Macaca mulatta: one gene and its partner. The protein of the gene in region 1 purifies or fractionates together with the protein of each later gene. This does not show direct contact. Links are inferred from orthologs where the notes say so. Each region holds a gene or a part of one and is shown in the gene's direction. Other genes may lie near its edges.

What was found. The genes of interacting proteins can lie anywhere in the genome.
Region 2: the proteins of ING2 (region 1) and SAP30 purify together in Homo sapiens (affinity purification with mass spectrometry; 3 studies listed by BioGRID and IntAct, counting the BioPlex papers as one, with this or other methods). This does not show direct contact. The link is inferred for Macaca mulatta from reciprocal best matches to the Homo sapiens genes ING2 and SAP30.

What each region holds. Positions count from the first base shown.
Region 1 is NC_133410.1:191,950,009-191,954,107, forward strand, and holds the start of ING2 (inhibitor of growth protein 2), read left to right. Parts: upstream 1-1,299; 5' UTR 1,300-1,501; coding exon 1,502-1,673; intron 1,674-4,099. UniProt on the Homo sapiens protein: Seems to be involved in p53/TP53 activation and p53/TP53-dependent apoptotic pathways, probably by enhancing acetylation of p53/TP53. Component of a mSin3A-like corepressor complex, which is probably involved in deacetylation of nucleosomal histones.
Region 2 is NC_133410.1:181,805,840-181,809,883, forward strand, and holds the end of SAP30 (histone deacetylase complex subunit SAP30), read left to right. Parts: coding exon 1-53; intron 54-3,229; coding exon 3,230-3,352; 3' UTR 3,353-3,544; downstream 3,545-4,044. UniProt on the Homo sapiens protein: Involved in the functional recruitment of the Sin3-histone deacetylase complex (HDAC) to a specific subset of N-CoR corepressor complexes. Capable of transcription repression by N-CoR.

The sequences.
Region 1 (4,099 bases):
ATTAAAATTCTCCATGCATTCATTCTATTTGCACCCATTTCTTTCAAAAAAGTCCATATGAAATTAAAATCAGTTCCTCTGCTTGGCATCTCGTTTACACTACACCGAAATTAAACCCCACTAGGAGATCACGTAGATTACGGGGCCAAGGGCCCGCCCGCTGACTAGGTTTTTACTCGCGTCTGCATGCCCCAGGTCCCCTCCGATTGTAGTCCTGGGGCAGGACCAAGCAAAAAGTCCCGTAAAGCTGGCGTGTGCCCCACTCCGCCAGGAAGCCCCGCCGACGTCCTGTGTTTAAATGTTCTGACACACCCCAAACGCAGTTGTTTTTAAAGGCTGTCTGTGGGACCTATGCGTTGGCAGGCAGATGCCGTCCCGCATCCCTTCCCCCTAAATGACATAGAAGATTCCAGCGCAGGGGAAGGGCCACGAAACCCGCAGGGCACACGACGCCGGGGGCCGGAGGAAGCACCGCCTACCTCCCCGATCAGCCCCGCGGTGCCGGACGAGCCCGAGGGCCCGGCAGGAGGCGGGCGGCAGCCCCAGGCGAGCTCGGAGGCGGCGGGAACGCCTTGCCGCGCATGCCGGGAGACGCCCGCCGCCTGCCGCCTGCCGCCCGCTGCCCGCCGGGACGCGCAGTCCTGCAGGCCTCGCTCCGGGTCGTCCGAAAAAAAGGAACCGCCTGCTGCTCCTTTGCAGGGGCGCGAGGAGCCGCACTCGGACCGCCGGATGGGTAAAAAGCCGGTGTGGCCGGGCGGAGCTGCCCCTCCCCGCGGGGAGGGCGGCCGGAAGGACCGAGCCGCCTCCCCTGCCGGGTCCCATTCAGACGCGGGGCGCAGAGACTGGCTCCCCAGGCTTCCCCTTTAAGGGGGGCGGGGCGAGGCCTGCCGTTTGGCCGCCCCCGACACCCTCCCCCCCTAGCCCGGAGCCGGCAGACCAATCGCCCGGGCGGCAAAGCGAAGGCGGGAGAATGCGAACCCTCCGGTAGGCGGTAGGGGCGGGCCCCGGCCTTATTGGGATCGAGCGCTGCGCAGGCGCAGAGGCGGCCGCGGGCGGAGGGGCGGGGGCAGGCCAGCGGGAGGCTCCCCGTCAGGCACGGAGGGTGACTGGGGACAGGCAGGCGGCGACGGGCTTGTCATGGGGATCCGGGCTGCGAGACGGCACTGGTAGCATCTGGGGACTCCGAGGGGGACAGGAAGTGTCAGCGTCCGGGACCCCGGCGCCGGCCCCGCCGAGGGGATCCCCACTGCTCCGGTCCTGGAGCGGGAGGGGAGAAAGGAGGGAGCCCCAGTTTCGCCCCGCCCCTGGGCTGGTGCTGCGGGGGCGGGGAGTGAGGGCTGCTCTGGGGGGAGTGGAGATCGGGGAGCGCGGCCGTGCCCTCTCGAGCGGCTGCGGGGTCCCCGCGGCGCCGGGCTGCTGAGCTGAGGGACCGCGGCGGCCGCGGCCGGTGCATGTGCGGCTGCTGGATGCGGAGGCGGCGGCGACGGCGCGCATCGGCAGGATGTTAGGGCAGCAGCAGCAGCAACTGTACTCGTCGGCCGCGCTCCTGACCGGGGAGCGGAGCCGGCTGCTCACCTGCTACGTGCAGGACTACCTTGAGTGCGTGGAGTCGCTGCCCCACGACATGCAGAGGAACGTGTCTGTGCTGCGAGAGCTGGACAACAAATATCAAGGTAGGGGCCGCGGGGCTGCCGGCCTCGGGAGCCGGTGGCAGGGAGCCTGCCGGGGCAGTGCCACCTTCCCTTTCTCCCGTGACAGTCTCCCCGAGCCCACCGAGGGTCTGCCGAGCGGGACGGGGAGGACTGGAGACTGGGTTCGCGGCCCTCCTTGCCCCGCGGTGGGCGAGTACTTCTCTGGGGTCCCCGGAGTGGGGGTGGGGGCTGTTCGTCAGCCCCCGCTGCAGACCCAGCGGCTGCAGCTGCCGCGGAGGGGAATCAGCCATTTTAAGCAGCAAGCATTTGTTCAGGCGCTCGCCTGCCCCGTGCCGCAGACCCTGCCGCCCCGGCCCAGGACTGCAGCCGGGCAAGGGCCAGAGGGAGTGAGCGGCCGGGCTCCCGCTGGTCTGCGGGGCGCACTTCCCCACCTCACTCGCCCCCACCCCGGAGTGCGGGTGCTTTGGAACGTGCGGGAGGGAGGGGGCGAGAGGCCGCGGAGGCAGATTGAGGGGGCCTTCCTCCGCGCTCCTACCCCGGCCGGGAGGAGAGCAGTCCGTTCCGCTCTCTGCCCCGGGAAAGTTCTCGGCCGCCCCGAGCCGCAGCCCTAGCCCAGCTCTTTCGGCAAAATGGTTAAGAGGGGAGGGGTCCCCCGCGAGAGAGGAAGAGAGGGGCGTGTGTGGCGGGGAGGGCCCCCGCGCCGGGGGCGGGGCCTGCGGGTGTGACGTGGGAGTGGGCGGGGCGCGGCGCGCGTTCCCGCGGGCCTGGAAAATGGCTGGTTGCGAGAGGGGCGGCGGCGAGCCGGCTGCTGGGGAGGGAGTCGAGGCTGTGCGAGGGCGTTGGTTCGGCCCCAGCGGAGTCCGAGTCGGGGTTTGCAGCATGTTTTGCGGTGATGTTTCCAATCTCTTTCCCAACCAATGGATCAGGACGGAGATTAGCAGCTCAGAGGGTCTCGGACCCTGGCTCCGCGTAGGTTCCGGGACATGTGTCACTTCCGGGCTTCAGGAGGAAGTGGGTTGGTTGACTGGGCAACCGCCTGGCGTCCCCAAGCCCCTCCTTCTCCGACTTTTAAGTGTTAAGGCGAAACCACCCTTTACGGGCCGACCCGGGAAGCCGGGACAGAATCCGACCTTCCTTACAGTGTTATCACCTACTATCGGTGGTGCTACTAGGAGGGCAGTTTAAAAGGGGAAATGTGTTGCGCTTAATAACCTTGAATCGAGGAACAGACCTTGAACATAGTATGGAAACAGCCATATGAACTTTAAAGATAATTTCCTGGACCCATTCTCTGTTTTTGTAAACACGTCAGTAATCCTGTAGTTTAAAAGTCTCTAAAGGAATCCACTTCTTGGGTGACATAAGTGTCTCTGATTTTTTTTAGTTGATAAATTTGTGTTTTCTGAATCCATGGGATTCATAGGACTGATCCGCGTTTGGGGGAGGGGTGGGGGGGAGGGATTTCAAACTGATGCGCTGAGTCCAGACCATTATATAAATATTTCTTTTACAGATTAGAAAGAGTTTAAGTAACTCGTCCAGTTAATTAGATGTAGAATATTTGGCTCCAGCTCCTGCAACTTTAGATGCATATCCTTGTTTTCAAACAATTTAAATTTTAATAAAAACTGTCCAAGGGGATTTCTGCAGATATGGAGCACAAACATGAATGGTAACCTAAAAATGATACGTGCTTAATAATTGTATATTGAACCTTTCTAGTTTTTCAAATAACACTAAAGTTTGTAAAGTTTGCAGTTGCTGTTGTTGTTGTTGCTTCAGACAGAGTCTTGCTGTGTCCCCTAGGCTGGAGTACAGTGGCTGGATCTTGGCTCACTACAACCTCTGCCTCCCGGGTTCAAACGATTCTCCTGCCTCAGCCTCCCGAGTAGCTGGGATTACAGGCACCTGCCATCACGCCCCTCTAAGTTTTGTATTTTTAGTAGATACGGAGTTTCACTATGTTGGCCAGGCTGGTCTTGAACTCCTGACCTCAGGTGATCCGCCCGCCTCTGCCCCACAAAGTGCTGGGATTACAGGCGTGAGCCACCGCACCCAGCAAGCTTGCAGGTTTTTACATTTCTTTGAAGACACGTTTCCTTTCACAAGAGTTAAGCTATTTGAAGTTGGTAAGGGATACTATAATTTGTTGACAGGGAAATCTGCTTTCGGATCATCTATAATTGTGATGTATTAATAGCTCTGGTAAGATTAGTAATATAGTAGGCCTTACAGGACTAAGAGATTATAAAAATTCTTAGCTCCATGAAGATTGTGATCAATGATTAAAAACTCATCCAGTTTTCACTCTTTGCGCATGGTTACTGAGCTCAACTTTCAGTTTTATGTTTATATATATTTTGTGTTTTGGGTTCAGATTTCATGTTTTTTATTTCTTCACTAGTGCTTAAGTCTTTTCTGGTTTTGGATCTAATATTTCTAGCAAT
Region 2 (4,044 bases), about 10 Mb from region 1:
GACACTTCAAGCTACCAACCAGACCAGGACTTAATAAAGCACAGCTTGTTGAGGTATATATGATTTTTAAACTATTTGAACTATGCACAACCGAGAGGCTGTTAAATGCTAATGAAAGTATTAATGTAGTATATGTAACAGTACATTTAACAGTACATTTTATTTAGAAAGAACAATGTTAAAAAATCTATTGTGGAAGAATCTAGTTGTCTAGAAATGTTTGTCAGCCACTTAGGAAATTCCTTTTTGTAATGACTACTCAGCAGGTTGTGTACAGCACCTTCTGATACTGGCTTTCAAAATGTGTTGTTTGTTTTTTGAGACAAAGTCTCGCTCTGTCACCCAGGCTGGAGTGCAGTGGCACGATCTCGGCTCATGGCAACCTCTACCTCCCAGGTTCAAGCAATTCTCCAGCCTCAGCCTCCCAAGCAGCTGGGACTTCAGGTGTGCACCACCACACCAGGCTGATTTTTGTGTAATATCTTTAGTAGAGATGGGGTTTCACCATGTTGGCCAGACTTGTCTCAAATTCCTGACTTCAAGTGATCCGCCCACCTCAGCCTACCAGAGTGCTGGGATCAGCAGTGTGAGCCACCGTGCCTGGCCCTCAAAATGTTGAATGAGAGTTTTTTTTAATCCTCACTTTAGAAATCTATTAGTTTTAAAACTCCATTTAACCAGTAAATGTTTGAGCATCTAATTGAGGCATAATAAATTTAATTAGCAAGCTTTAATGTCCTTATTAAAATTTATATTTTAAAGTGGTGGAGTAGGCCTACAAATCAGCCCCTAAACAGTATTTTTATAATTTGCTGACTTAACTATTTCAAAATTGGTCCTTGTTGATGTTAGTTTTATTAGAGACATCTATGTTTTCTTCACATCTAGAAGAGGCAAAAGCTTTTCTTTTACCCAATCTTTTACTTGTAGTTTGCTTTGACAGAGGACTTCTAGTTAGTCAGTGAGTTGTGAAAGTTAATGGAGTATGCATATGTTCTCAGGATATAATAGAACCAAGAAGTCTGTGCATCTTATTAAGATGCTTATAGATTGATATATTTATATTTTAATCATATTTAAAATTTTTGCTTGCAGCTACTCAGGAGGATTGATTAATCCTAGGAGTTTGAGTCACCATGGGCAACATAGCAACACTCCATCTCTAAAAAAGAAAATTTAGCCTACTAGACAAAATAGAAGTGTAGATATATAAATCGGTTTTCTCATATTCTTTGCATGGATTTAGTAGTTACCCAACATTTTCTAAAATGTACAACATTTCATTGAATAAAATGAAATATGAATAGAAGTTACATTTATCTGATGGAACGCTTTTTAACATTGTTAAAATCTAATACATTAACTATTTAGCTAAAATTTCTTATCCTTGGTTAGGCAACACGGATCTAATTAATTTTTCTTTAATTTTGATTTAAAAGATCAAGTTCTTTTGGGGTTGTACAATACATTATGTAACGTAAATATAGATCTTGCCCACCATGATGAAATATTTCAGTAGGTACTAATGGAGTGAAGGCACCCCTGTTTTGGAACAAATGAGAACCAAAGAACTAATTATTTTAAATGTTACATTTAGGTATAAATTAAACCTGAAATTTTTGATAAACTGACCTTCTAAGAACAGTTATATTATTTCTAGAGCTATTTTCTTTTTTATACATAAGAGATAGCCATGAGTGTTATATTTTACTTAATCAGAAATGCAGTTATTAACAGGTTAAGGAATGTGGAAATGTGCAGATGTAGTACATATATTTTAAGACAGGGGTCCCCAACCCCGGGGCCATGGACTGGTACTGGTTGATGGCCTGTTAGGAACAGGTCCACAGAGCAGGAGGTGAGCACCAGCTAGCAAGAATTACTGCCTGAGCTCCGCCTCCTGTCAGATCAGCCGTAGCATTAGATTCTCACAGGAGTCCAAAACCACGTGTGAAGTGCACATGTGAGGGATCTAGGTTGTACGCTTGTTATAAGAATCTAATGCCTGATGATCTGAGGTGGAACAATTTCATACCAAAACCAACTCCCCCACCCCCAATCTGTGCAAAAATTGCCTTCCGTGAAATCGATCTCTGGTGCCAAAAAGGTTGGGGACCACTGTTTTAAGGGATTCCAGGGTTGTATGACTAAGTCTTAAGTCTCGTAATTGTTGTGTGGATGAACTTTTTTCTTAAGAAATTCTATTTTCTGGAATCTAAATATGCTTGTCAGCACCTCAGGTAAGTCTATTAATCTTCTATTCGTAATTGTAGTATGCATATTACATTAGCACAATGAAAAGGCAAGGAAGCAGGTAAACATCCTTCATTGAACATCCCTCTTTCTCCTCTCATTTCCATTCACAATTTTTATTCAGAAAAATTTTCAAGGAACCTTAACCAAAGAATGCTACCAAGATACGAATGAATGAATGTAATTTGCAGCAAATAATTTATATGTTATTGTTGATTACTACCAAAAGTTTTCAACTTCATACTTCTTTTTCTATCAGTAGGGTCTAAACCATTGCAGGTTTAATGATGCATGTGGTCTCTTACATCTGTTTTATCTCATTTAAAGTTTAAAAGTAAAAACATGTATTCCCTACTCTAGATTCCAATTATAAAATTTATTATTTTTATCTTATTTATCTTTTTTGAGACAGAGTCTTGCTCTGTCACCCAGGCTGGAGTCCAGTGGCGTGATCTCAGCTCACTGCAACCTCCACCTTCTGGGTTCAAGCAATCCTCCCATCTCAGCCTTCTGAATAGCTAGGATTACAGGTGTACACCACCACGCCTACTTAATTTTTGTATTTTTTTTTGGTAGAGATGGGGTTTTGTCATGTTGCGCAGGCTGGTCTTGAACTCCTGGGCTCAAGTGATCCCCCTACCTCCGCCTCCCAAAGTGCTGGGATTACAGGTGTGAGCCACCACTCCTGGCCCAATTATAAAATTTAAAATAAATAAAAGGAAAATGTATTTTCTAATCAATGTATAGTAAATTGAGTGAGCCAAAAGGTCCTTTGAAATCACATTATCTCTTGTTCATAACATTTTATTCTTAAATGCTTTTTGTCCTGTTGGTATTTTCTTAAATATAATTTTTAAAGGAAATAGCTCTTATCACATAGATTTTTTCTTTGGATGAAACCGTATTTTTTACCTAGTTTATGAAACCTGTTATATCTAAAATTTAATTTCCTTAATTTTTTTTTTTTTCTTTATAGATAGTTGGTTGCCACTTTAGGTCTATTCCAGTGAATGAAAAAGACACCTTAACATATTTCATCTACTCAGTGAAGAATGACAAGAACAAATCAGATGTCAAGGTTGATAGTGGTGTTCACTAGGAGACGTGGAATTGAGACTAATAACTTGGATGATAACACTGTTTACTGTTTTTTCACATGTAGAAATGTTCTTTGTGTATTTTTTCTACAGAGGATTTTCTCTGATTTTATTTTCTTTGTTTCTGACTCTAATAATTAGTTGGAAACTCATGTAAAATGAGCTTTCCTAAATTAAAAACTATTTTAAATAAAGGTTATTACTATTATAGTTGCTTCAGTGTATTTATTTTGTGAAACTTGATTTTTCTTTTAAACTGACTTAGAGATCAGTATTGATATTTTAATGTAAAGTCCTTCATTTTATAACCCCCTTTTTTTTTTTTTTGTAAACTTCCAAGAAATTAACAGGGTAAGGAGAAGTAACAAATGTAGCACATTTGCATTCTCTGGGACAATCTGACTTGGAATTGAAGATATTTTAAATAGCATTATTTTTTTTAAGTGCTTTATAATGCTAGCAAATTTGAAAAATAAGCTTCTATTGGAATACAACTTCTTTTTTATTTCCTTTTTTTTTTTGTTATTATTACTTGATGAAGTACTAGGAAGAACAAATGGTTTAATTTATATACCCACCTCGTTCCAAAGACAACTTAATGTGCCAGTGAAGATAAACACAATGCTGAAAGTCGAAATAAGAACATGAAATGAAATAGCTGTTTTTGAAAATTTTGTCTTTGGGAAAAGATATT